3 linked regions of the Rattus norvegicus genome follow. The protein of the gene in region 3 interacts with the protein of the main gene of each other region in a pairwise test. Links are inferred from orthologs where the notes say so. Each region holds a gene or a part of one and is shown on either strand. Other genes may lie near its edges.

The links.
Region 1: the proteins of Ddx6 (region 3) and Zbtb8a interact in binary tests that used the Homo sapiens proteins (3 or more experiments, as listed by UniProt). The two-hybrid records come from large-scale screens. The link is inferred for Rattus norvegicus from reciprocal best matches to the Homo sapiens genes DDX6 and ZBTB8A.
Region 2: the proteins of Ddx6 (region 3) and Sipa1l2 interact in binary tests that used the Homo sapiens proteins (3 or more experiments, as listed by UniProt). The two-hybrid records come from large-scale screens. The link is inferred for Rattus norvegicus from reciprocal best matches to the Homo sapiens genes DDX6 and SIPA1L2.

What each region holds. Positions count from the first base shown.
Region 1 is NC_086023.1:146,984,834-146,988,967, forward strand, and holds part of Zbtb8a (zinc finger and BTB domain-containing protein 8A), read right to left. Parts: intron 3,534-4,134; 5' UTR 3,496-3,533; coding exon 2,673-3,495; intron 1,145-2,672; coding exon 975-1,144; intron 1-974. UniProt on the Homo sapiens protein: May be involved in transcriptional regulation.
Region 2 is NC_086037.1:70,287,562-70,291,695, forward strand, and holds part of Sipa1l2 (signal-induced proliferation-associated 1-like protein 2), read right to left. Parts: intron 3,942-4,134; coding exon of another isoform or gene 3,831-3,941; coding exon 3,707-3,830; intron 3,143-3,706; coding exon 3,061-3,142; intron 802-3,060; coding exon 655-801; 3' UTR 1-654.
Region 3 is NC_086026.1:53,834,802-53,838,935, reverse strand, and holds part of Ddx6 (probable ATP-dependent RNA helicase DDX6), read right to left. Parts: intron 2,767-4,134; coding exon 2,703-2,766; intron 1,498-2,702; coding exon 1,393-1,497; intron 1-1,392.

The DNA.
Region 1 (4,134 bases), on a different chromosome or scaffold from region 3:
ATCATCATCACCATCATGTCATCATCACCACCACCACCACCATCATCATCATCATGCTATGTTTTCATCATCGTATCATCATCATCATGCTATGTTTTCTTCATCATCATCATCATCATCATATCACCATCATCATCATCACCACCACCACCACCACCACCACCATCATGCTATGTTTTCATCATCATCATCACCACCACCATCATCATCACCACCACCACCACCATCATCATGCTATGTTTTCATCATCATATCATCATCATCATCATGCTATGTTTTCTTCATCATCATCATCATCATCATCATCACCACCACCACCACCATCACCACCACCACCACCATCATCATCATGCTATGTTTTCATCATCATCATATCATCATCATCATCATCACCACCACCACCACCACCACCATCATCATCATCATGCTATGTTTTCATCATCATCATATCATCATCACCATGCTATGTTTTCTTCTTCATCATCATCATCATCATCATCACCACCACCACCACCACCACCATCATCATCATGCTATGTTTTCATCATCATCATCACCACCACCACCATCATCATCATCATGCTATGTTTTCATCATCATCATCACCACCACCACCATCATCATCATCACCATCATCATCATCATCATCATCATCATCATCATGCTATGTTTTTCTGTAGTTGCTGGGGAACCCGACTCAAGTTCGCACTTTTGTGTGGCAAACACTTTACTGAGTGAACCCCCTTCCCATGCCTCACTTAGATTATTAAAGCAGATAAGAGCAGGGCTGGGGATCTAACTAAGGGTAGAGACCTTGCTTACCATGCACGATGAAGTGTTCAGTCCCCCAGTACCACAAGAAGGGGGTAAAAACAAAGGGAGGGTGAGGGAGAGGGAAGGGAGGGAGAGGGAGAGGGAGAGAAAGCAGATAAATGCTCACATAGAAGCAAAACGGCGAGAACTTGCATACACACCGTGCGGAAGTGGCTGCTCAGATGGTCTAGCCTGCTGAAGCGTTTCCCACAGGCCTGGCACGGGTAGGGCCTCTCTCCTGTGTGGCAGCGCAGGTGGCGCTTGAGGTCCGCCTTCCGCTTTACCACATGTGTGCAGTATGGGCACTTGAACCGTAGCCTGGGCAGATTGTCTGTCAGGAGACAGTGGGGTTAAATCACCGCAGAGAGCACGGCAACGACTCTGTCAGCGTAAGGGATCCAGGAGTTGCTGGGTCCAGACTTGGGAAGGGAAAGTCAGATGACCTGAATTAAGTGCCCTGGACTGCCGAGCAACCCTGGCACAGAAGTAAAACGTGTTTGCACAGACCTCCACTCTTCCCCTCTAATCCAATCCTTCACATTAGAGTTTTACACTTGGAAAGGTAGTGCCACACACACACACACACACACACCGTGCGCACACGCGCGCACACATACAAGCCGAAAATGAAGCAAATTAATTTTTAAAGAGGAATTTTTGTTTGTTTTTGTTTGCTTGAGACAGAGTCTCACTAGGCAGTCCTGGGTGGTCTCAAACTCACAGAGATGAGCCTGCCTCTGATCCCCAATCCTGAGATTAAAAGTGTGTACCTTGCTTCACAGAGATTTTTTTTCTTTTTTTTTTTTAATTCTTTTTTTTTTAAAAAGATTTATTTATTATATATAAGTACACTGTAGCTGTCTTCAGATACACCAGAAGAGGGCATCAGATCTCTTTACAGATGGTTGTGAGCCACCATGTGGTTGCTGGGAATTGAACTCATGACCTCTGGAAGAGCAGTCGGGCGCTCTTAACCGCTGAGCCATCTCTCCAGCCCGATTTTTTTTTCAATTAATTATTTATTTTTACACTCCAGATTTTACTCCCCTCCTGGTCCACCCACTTCAGAGATTTTTAAAGATATATATATATTAAAGATTTATTTATTTTATGTACATGAGTACACTATAGCTGTCTTCAGACACACCAGAAGAGGGCATCAGATCCCATTACAGATGGTTGTGAGCCACCATGTGGTTGCTGGGAATTGAACTCAGGACCTCAGGAAGAGCAGTCAGTGCTCTTAACCACTGAGCCATCTCTCCAGGTCCTATGAAATAAATTTAAGTAAAAAGTATGACTTAAAAAAAATCATGGGGGGGCTTGGGGATTTAGCTCAGTGGTAGAGCGCTTGCCTAGGAAGCGCAAGGCCCTGGGGTCGGTCCCCAGCTCCGAAAAAAAGAACCAAAAAAAAAAAAAAAAAAAAAAAAATCATGGGTTGGGGATTTAGCTCAGTGGTAGAGCGATTGCCTAGCAAGCGCAAGGCCCTGGGTTGGGTCCCCAGCTCCGAAAAAAAAAGAAAAGAAAGAAAAAAAAATCGTAAGAGGCTAGAGATAAGTCTCAGGAAGAGCAACGGCTGCTTTTCTAGTGGACCCGAGAACGGTTCACAGCGCCCACATCTGGTAGCTTACAACTATCTGTAATTCCAAGTCCAGAACATCCAATACACTTGGCTGGCCTGTGGGTGTCACCCATACAGACATGCTCAAACACACACACACACACACACACACACACACACACACACACACACACACGCACACACACACATGTAAATAATGTAAAAATCTCTTTAAAACTGCTGTGGCACCTAAAATGAAGGGCCTTTAAACTTGAGAGACTTAGCTTCTCTGGGGTACCTGGAAAGCTCCTGGAGGCGACCTCAGGCCCTTGGCTGTACGGGTAGCCAGCAGAAACAGGATCCACTTCAGCATCCACCTGGACCTGCTCTTCAGACTGGGAAACATGGTGGCCGGAATCGGATGTCCGAGCATCTCCTTTGCCCGACTTGAAATGAACAACTTCAGATGGCTGTGGCAATCTCAAGTGCTTGGTCTTCTTAATGGGGTCCTTCCTTTGCTCATGCTTGGCCAATGGTGGCTGAGGACTCCTCTGGGAGGCTGGGTGGTAACTGTACTTGTTCCATGGCTTTCCACTCACTATGGCTGGTCCTTGGTCTGGGCTCAGGTGAGAGCGGGGAGACCCGCCATCTTCCTGCCAGCTGCTGCTATAGACAGAGGGACGCTCTACTCCATTAGAGCCGGTGTCCTTATCCGAGAGGCTGAAGTAGCGATCTTTCTCCTTCTCACTAATATCCAAGGAGGACTTAATGAAAGTCTTGCACACGCTGATGACGTCAGTCATCTGAAGGAAGCTCGCGGCAGACATCACTTCTATCACATTCTGTCCAGTAAGAGAGAGTTTGCCGGAATAGACGAAGTCCAGGATGACCGTGAAGGTGTCGGGGGAGAAGGTCTGAAACGTGGCTGTGGTTGGCTGACTTGTCTCCTTGGAGTTCTGAGAAAGCAGCATTTTAAAGTAGCCACTGCTTGCGAACAATACATTCCGATGCGCCTTGAAGACCTTGCCTTCGACTAGAATACTGCAGTCACAAAACACGTCTTGCCTGCGCTGCTCATTCAGTTGCTCCAGGAGGTGGGACTGGTGCGAGGAGATCTCCATTTTGCCGGGGAAGGACTCACGTGGGTAGCGGAGAGGACCTAAAGGGGGTAAGGACATACGTGGGTACCGGAGAGGACCTAAGAAACAAGCCTGCAACTTGCCGGTGAAAGTACTAATCAGAAAGATCGGTTTCCCAGCTAACCCTCTTTTCTTCTTATAAAATAGTTCCCAAGACACAGAAGACAGCGGGTCCCACAGGAGCGGCTACCGCTGGCCTACAGTCCCTGCTACTCAGAAGGCTAAGGCATGAGGATTACAAGCTCAAGGCCTGCTTGAGCTACAGAGGGTTCGAGGTCAGCCTGGAAAATTTGCAAGATTCTGTCTCAAAATAAGAAGTGAGGAGAAGGATATAGATAGTCACATGGCAAAATACCAGCTGAGCTTATGGGGGGGGGGGAAGGCCCCATGTTGCAAAAACCAAACAAAACAGAAACAACAGACAAAATAAAACAACCCCATCCCACATGTGCGCACTCCCACACACACTCACCAACCCGGCAGGAGAGGGTTCCAGTCTACCCTATTCCTACCTCTATTTCTGATGTAAAATTCTAGTCGTCACTACATGACTGGAACTATTTGTCAAGGTCTGACGCTCAAACTTAGAAAGATGTGCCTGGTGCACAAAGACGACAGAAG
Region 2 (4,134 bases), on a different chromosome or scaffold from region 3:
AGCTGTTCACAAGGCATTCGCATCTCTTTTCTTAAAAAAAAAAATTCAGAACACTGTTAATATTCAGGCACCGTTTGTTCCTGCAAATAAATACGTCTCTACGGCAACAGTGTTCGTGCTAGTGTTAAACTTCAGGGCTTGTCTCTGACAGAGCTCTGCAGACTGCTTACTGCACCCTTCTTATTGCTATGATAATGTGGCTGTGGAAATAAACTACTGTACATCCAAAAAAATAGAGCACCTTTAACATTAAAGTACACGTCGATTATCTGCCTCCCTATTTATTTACAGTCCGACAGCCCCGCTACAGTACACTGGCTTAGCGTCTCTGCAGGTCACCCGCTCAGGTTAGTGACACCTAGTTCTCTCCCAAAGGGAAGCTGAGGCCAGAGCATCGTCAGGGAACCATTCAGCTTCTGTTAGCATCCAGCAGTTACATTCATCTTCTGCTGCAGCCACCTGGGAGTCCAGGCCCCCGACCTGCCTGCTGGGGTGAGTAGTGAGACACAGACAGACAGTGAGACATCTACCTACAGGTGACAGAAAGCACATGTAAAAACTGCATTGCCGACTTGGAAGGGACCACAGGGAGGCAGGCTGGCAGGCAGGCTGACTGACCAGCCCGGGGTCCCACGGTGAGGAGCGGCGAGCTGATCAGACCTTTTTGTCAATGGTGCTAAAAAACCACTCGGTGAACGTGCGTAGCTGGGCTGTGGCGGTCTGTGACTCTTCCTGCAGTCGCATGTTGTCCTGCCTCAGGTGCTGGACCTCAGCCTGCAGCACCGCCTTGTCCTGCTTCTCCTGTGTGGCAGAGACAGAGGGTGTTACAAGGTCAGCTACTTCTACTGAGCTGCACACGAGGGTCCCAGGGTCTTGCCTGGGTTTTGTTGTTCACGCAGAGCCACCCTAGGCTCTTGGCTCCCTCCGTATGTTCTTAAGGAAGAGCAGAGCTGCTGTGTAGGAAGTGATACTACCCCACACCACCTGGAGGAGAGATGGCCAGGCTGGTGGGAACCCCTCCTGACTTGAGGGCTCCTTTCTACCCAAGACTGGCCCAGTGTGGCAGCTGCGATGCTAACTCGGGGACAGCTGTTTGGCCTCTCACGCCAAGCGATTCTGGTGCTGGCATAGCTCCATGCTGCCTTCAAAGATGGCCTCTCAGGACTACGTAATAGGACTTTAAAAGTAACTGCCTTCGATGCTTCTACCATGAGAAACACTTGACAGACTTCAGATCTCTAGAGCTGAGGGGCAGAACAGTCATAGCAGCTACTGCTCTTAGTGGCTCACTGCTGTGATACACAGTGGGTGAGCGGGGTGAATCACTCCCTCAGGGCGTCTGTCAGGGCGTCTGCTTCCACCCTTCAATAGCCTCCCAGTTCCCCAACTCTACCCTGTCCATGCGTCCTGTCTTTAAGGCCTTCTCAACACTAATGGACAACTCTAGAGGCTGGTTCCTCCTCTCTCTCCAACCCACACTTCAGCCCCTTCTAGAACAGCTTCAGGTTTTTACATCCTGGCCCACCGCCATGCCCTGGTTCCAAAGGAAGCTTCCTGGTGTCCACCTCCACTGTCTTCTAAGCCCACCTGGACGGTCCCATTCCACCACCTGCCCCACACCACCATGTCTTCCTTCCCCAGTGCTCCTGCAAGGAAGGCTCTTGTTCCTCTGGCAAGCTGGTACAGACCTCCTCGGGGAGCTCAAACTCTGTGTTTCCTGATGGACTCATCAAGGGTACATCACCACTAATGTGCTACATACCCCGGGGGCCCTTGTGCCTCTCTTGTTGTCCTAGCTAGACCAAGTTAGTTAAACTCAACTGCCCTGGTGTCCATATCTGCAAAGGAGATAAGCAGTGAGCTGTGTCTGTCTGCCTGGGGCTCTGCTGGCTTAGAACAAAGAAACCTTAGTCTAGGCAGACTTGGGAAGGAGGTCCCTGGAGCTGGTGTGTGCGCGTGCATGCGTGTGTACACACACACACACACACACACACACACACACACACACACACACACACACACATCCCCTCTATCAGGATCACCTTAGCAGGAAGTGAAAAAGCAGCCTTGCTGGCAGCTCAGCTAAATACCCCCTGGCAGTTTCCCCTGCCCTTGACCTTAACTCTAGCTCCTTAGCTGGTGGTGGGAGACGGTGACCATCAGAGGTCAACACGTGAGTGTGCACGTGCACACAGACCCACATGTGTTTAACGTGTGGCAAAAGCTGTCCCAGTGCCCATCCTAAGTCAGCTGCTTCCCTGGCACACTAGGTAAGAACTAGACTCTTGTATAATTAATTTTCTTCACTAGTTCCTTCCGGCTTGGCCAACCCCATCCATGTTTACACCAGCTATGATGTAACACAGCAAACCAAGCCTACATCCCAGGAGGCTTCTGAAGCCCTCTGTGACTCCATCTCCCTCCAAGGGCAGCAAAGGCACCTAGCACAGTAGGGGCACTGCAGTGGGAACCAGCATCTTGTTCCTCTGGAGAGAAGCCAGCACATGGACAGACTGACTGACTGACTGACTAGCTGACTGACTGACTGACTGACTGACTGACTGGCTGGCTGGCTGGCTGGCTGACTGACTGACTGACTGACTGACTGACTGGCTGACTGGCTGGCTGGCTGGCTGACTGGCTGACTGACTGGCTGGCTGACTGACTGACTGACTGGCTGACTGGCTGACTGGCTGACTGGCTGACTGACTGGGCTCTTGAAGGTCTCATCTTTGGTGAGTAACAGATCCTCCTCTGGGTTGGCTCACATGTGGCTGTTGCAAGCAAAGCCTCAGGGGATCTCACATTTAGAAGACATAGACACTCGCAGGCCTATTTACACGGAAAAGAGGCAGACCTGAGTTAATTCCTGGGAGCCACAGTAGGACTCTATGTGCCCTCAGGGGAAACCCCACACCAGCTGCCGGTGAGAAGATGAGAGGAGACAGAGGGAACCTCCTTCCCGGATCCAGGTCGGCTGAGGGTCTTATCCATGTATTTGCAGGAATTAAAAGGGGCTCGATGTGGGCAAAGCACTCAGAGGACTCCGCAATCACATACCTTCCGGAGGTCAGTCTGCAGCTGTCGGAGAATCAGTTCTAGCTGGTTAACTTTCCCAGTCAGTGTGGAGGGTGATCGCTCCCTGGGAAATGTACAATTAAGAGGATTTAAGAGACTGAAGGCTAGGATGTTGCTTGTGTTCATGTTAGCAAACTTTTCCCTGAAAATACTGTGTGTAAGTTGACAAGGTCCCCCATAGCTACCACCATGAACTCAGAACTGGTAAGACACTGAGGATGGTAAGCCAACAAAGCCAGGCTTATTTAAGTGGAGAAGAGGCAGACCAGAGTTAAGTCCTGGGAGCCACAGTAGATATGACTTCCCTAACCTGTAGGCAGATAATTGGATCAGGGATCAGATCTGGGAAGAACTGTGCTCTAGGCAGGTCCACAGCATGAGTGGCCTGGCTGGCCAAGACTGACTGACAAGGGGTCATGCCTGGTGCTTTTGTAGTAATTAGGCAGCTGACTGGAGGTTGGCTTCTGTGGCACAGGCAGCCAACAGGCAGGATCTGTCTATGCTGTGTGAAAGTCACATAGACCAGTGACATCTCTTCCGGTATTCAGGTCAGTCCCACTGTAAGACTCTCTCCAGCCTGGCCTTGGATCCCTAAATTTTGGGACAGTGGGAGGGAGGGTCTACATACCCTGGTGTATCCATGAATTCTTTGCCACTGGTGGGATCTACACACAAGGACAGCTCTGGGGCCCCTTCTAGTTCTTGTCCATGCTGGAGGTCGGTCAGGGTGCAGAAGGAGGCCACCCTCTGGTCTGGAGAGGAGGAACATATAGAAAGGAGGTTGGTGAGAGCCACCAGGCCCCGTGACTTTGTACAGACCAATTTACTGAATGGAATCTGCTGACCCTCCTCACCACAATGCCCTGTTTGAAACAAAATGGAGAAACAGAAACTTAGGCAAGCCGGTGGCAATGACGAAGCATGAGGCTGGCTGCCCTCCGCAGGGAGGGTATGGTGCATATATACCGAGCTACAGAGCAAGGCAGCTTTCTCCTTCCCACACTCCCAGGACTCTGGTTGTGTGTGGTTTAGCAAGTGCACGATGTGGCTGTGACA
Region 3 (4,134 bases):
ATGTACCTTCAGATTCAGCACCTAGAGAAATCTGCTTTGCAGTATTTTTGTTGAGAAAACATGACTTGAGATAAATCACAGGGACTCATGAGAAATATATATTTAAAAAAATAAGTGGAAGAGTCTAGGGATGCAGCTCAATTGCCAGAGTGCTCTCCCAGCAGGCAGAACACACTGACTTCCATCTCCAACACTATATAAACCAGACAAGACTTCACAAGCCTGCACTGCAATCCCAGTGCTCTTCTATGGAAGGGTTACAAGTTTAAGGTCACTTTTAGATACAGAGTTTGAGGCCAGTTGGGATACATAAGACCCTGTCTCAAAAAGCAACAGAGCCAGTAAGATAGCTTGATAGAAAAAAGTACAACCACCTGTGTCTGATCCCCAGAATCTACAGAGTAGAAAGAGAACTGACTCCTGTAAGCGTCTGACCTCTGCACATTCACAAAATGTTAAAAATAAAATCCAGGGGCTAAACAGATGGTTCAGCAGTCAAAAACACTAGCTGCTCTTCTAGAGAGCTCAGATTTGATTCCCAAAATCCACATGGCAGTACAAGACCACTTAAAATTCCAGTTCCAAGGGATCCAAAACCCTTGTCTGGCCTCCTCAGGCACTGCACACATGTGCTACATGAACATACATGCAGGCAAAACACTCAAACACATAAAAATATAAAATTTTAAATAAATAGAAAAAATACTGAAACCATCAACCAATGACACGACACACAACCCTTATTCTTGGGAAATAAACACCAAGAGACTCATAAGAAATGGATTCTGTGATTTAACCCTTAAAAGCTCAAGAAAAAAGCTGGGAGTTGTGGTGTTTGCCTATAATCCTAGATTTGTGAGGCAAGAAACAAGAGCTCAAAGATCACTTCCAGCTATACTTCAAATCCAAGGCTAGATGGACTAGCGCTCGCACTCGCTCGCTCTCTCGCTCTCTCTCTTTCTCTCTCTCTCTCACACACACACACACACACACACACACACACACTCTCTTCAGAAAAATACTGTCCTTGCACACACAAAGACAAAAGACATGTAACACTATGGTTCACAACCATCTTTAACTCCAGTTCCAGAGGCTCTGAGGTCCTCTTCTTGCTTGGTACCAGACATACATGCAGATAAAACACTCCATACATGAGAACATTATTTGTTTATTTATTTTGTTTTATTGTTTTTCAAGACAAGATCTCTGTGGTTCTAGCTGTCCTGGAACTTACTCTGTACACCAGGCTGGCCTTTGCCTGCCTCTGCCCCAAGTACTGGGATTAAAAGTGTATGCTACCACATCCAGCTCTAAGTATTTTTGAAAACATTTGCTGAAGTGTATAATGCATGTTATATAACCTTCATGTAACAAAAAGGACAAACATACCTGAATAGGAGATGGTTTTTCCCAGCCCATTTCAAAAATTCCCATTAGCAACTCTCGTTTCAAACAGTAATCTTCAAACTCATTTCCTTTTGTGGAGGTCACATCCTAAATCAAACAAATAAAATACATTTGAGGTTCTTTCACAGTAAGCATGCTTAAACGTATGCCCGACAGACTGAACCCTTTCTCCACTTCAATATAAAGACACCTATTACTACTGCTTTAATCTCTATGTCAGCTTTCCCTGAAGAACAACTAACTACACTACCTTCAACAAATAAACACACTTTAAAAATGGATCTTTGGGCAAAACCAGGTATGACCAAAGTGCAAAGTACAATATTTCTTTCTACATAAATAACATTTGATTAGTTTTTTTTTTTTTTTTTTTTTGCTTCTTTTTTCGGAGCTGGGGACCGAACCCAGGGCCTTGCGCTTCCTAGGCAAGCGCTCTACCACTGAGCTAAATCCCCAACCCCATTGAACGCCTGTTCTTATACACTCATACACAGTAGTTATAATACCTAACCTGTTTATCTCACTGATACACAGGCTGAGAAAAAGAAACTGAGAAAATTAGGTTATGATATGCAGTTAGGCTGAGGGCAGAGACAGAGATGCAGAGGCAGGGGCAGGTGGATCTCTGTGTGTTCAACGTTGGCTTGGTCTACAGAGTTAGTTTCAAGACCACCAGGGCTACACAGGAAAACCCTGTCTGGGAAAAAAAGAAAACAAAACAATAACCAAGGTATGTATGTGTGCACGCACACAGACACACACAACTTAATATACATTATACCTATTGTCTAATCCCATCAAAGACTGGTAGGAAAATTTTGGCAACCCAGTATCTATTAACTATACAGTTCCAACTATTTCAACACATACAGTCTCAGCTAAACAGTAAACCTTCAGTTGTAGTGAAAAAACTAAAGGTGCTCAAACATAAAAACCCCTGTGCTAGCCTGCTAGTGCACAGCTAACTACCCCTGTGCTAGCCTGCTAGTGCACAGCTAACTACCCCTGTGCTAGCCTGCTAGTGCACAGCTAACTACCCCTGTGCTAGTGCACAGCTAACTACCCCTGTGCTAGCCTGCTAGTGCATACCTAACTACCCATGTGCTAGCCTGCTAGTGCACACCTAACTATACTCCCAGCACCAATGAGGCTACGGGAAAGACCAAGATTGTGTAGTAGCCCTGGACTACACAGGATAATATCTCAAAAGAAAACAAAGCCGACACATTCCACGTCATTTCACGTAACTCCTTTACTTGTAACTTCCATTTGAAATAGAACACCCCACTTACCGAAGTTTTAATTCTTAGATCCTTTGGAGGGAGTTTTAAAGTCTTTTTCCAGTCATCACCAGGTCTAGAGAGAATATTGTAAGCATGAAGTTATCACAATTCATAGCTTCCTCCTTAATAATACAAATGAAACACCTCAAATAGAACCATCCCTCTAACAAGCACAATGAGTTTAATACACTCAAACACTTAACACAATTAGCAAAGGCATCAACTTCAGGAACGTGTTCTTGGGAACTCATTAAGGAAGATGAAGACTTATCACCAGGGCTGGAGTAACCAAGTGTTTGTCAAAATGTGTTTTATTTCATCCACATAGTTGGTTTTTTGTTTGTTTGTTTGTTAGCAGCAAACATTTAACCCCTAAATTTCATGTAAAGGCTCAGATTCTGGACTTTCTTTTAAAAACTGCTAGATTCAATCCACAGCACTTTAGGAAGACACACTTTGGCAATAATGTTTCAAATTCCTGTATGGTAACAGTTTGGTAGACCTGAGTAACTACATTAGCCCCCTTTTTTGTAATGCTAAGAAACTGAACCCAGGTCACTGGACAAGCTGGGGAATTTCCAGTGGATTACCTAGTAACCAGAACTTAAACAATAAGTACCTTCTAGTTTGGTGCTCTATAGTCATCCAAGCCTGTAACTTATGGTAACTAGCTGATTCTTGTTAGAACCAAGAGAACCTACAGTCCTACCTACCTTGAAGAATGAGGTAGAAAGACCACCTGAGCCTGGAAGCCCCAGGATAATCTGAACAGAAAGACCTTGACCTCAAACACAAATGCACACAAAGTCCTGAAGTTTCAAATAGAGGTTAAGTCTTGATTTGACTCCTATTCCTTCTGTGATGCTGTTCCAATTACTTCCCCCAAACCTCTATTCTCTCACATACAAACTGGGTGTCTAATAATTTTTATCAATAATCTATAAAGAGGTGGCACGATGTCATGAATCAGGTAATTTCAGCACTTGGGCAGCCAGTCTGGGTTATGCTAAGTGTGGTCTCAAAAAGCAAATAGGTAATTTTGAAAAGTAGTCAGTACTATACCTAACACATTAAGAACATCTTAGTCATTTCACTTGGAGACTCTTGAAATTGTAACCAGAACACCCGAAGCTTGATTTATCTAAGGCTACAGCCCGCACATAAAGCACAAACATTCCAATACTGGTATCTTTGTTTACGAAAGCTTGCTATTCAGTCCAGATTGGCCTCCAACTCATGATCCTCTGCTTCAGTCTACAGCACTGAACTTTCTAAGCAAAAACATGGCGGATAACAACCTAGTAAAATCGCTTGCCGAATGCACTGTCAAATTGAACAATGCATAGTATATAATATACAGTGCAAAAACTGGTCTACAAATTACACTCATTTACATATTTTAAAAAACAGATTTATTTATTTTTATGTGCAATGGTGATTT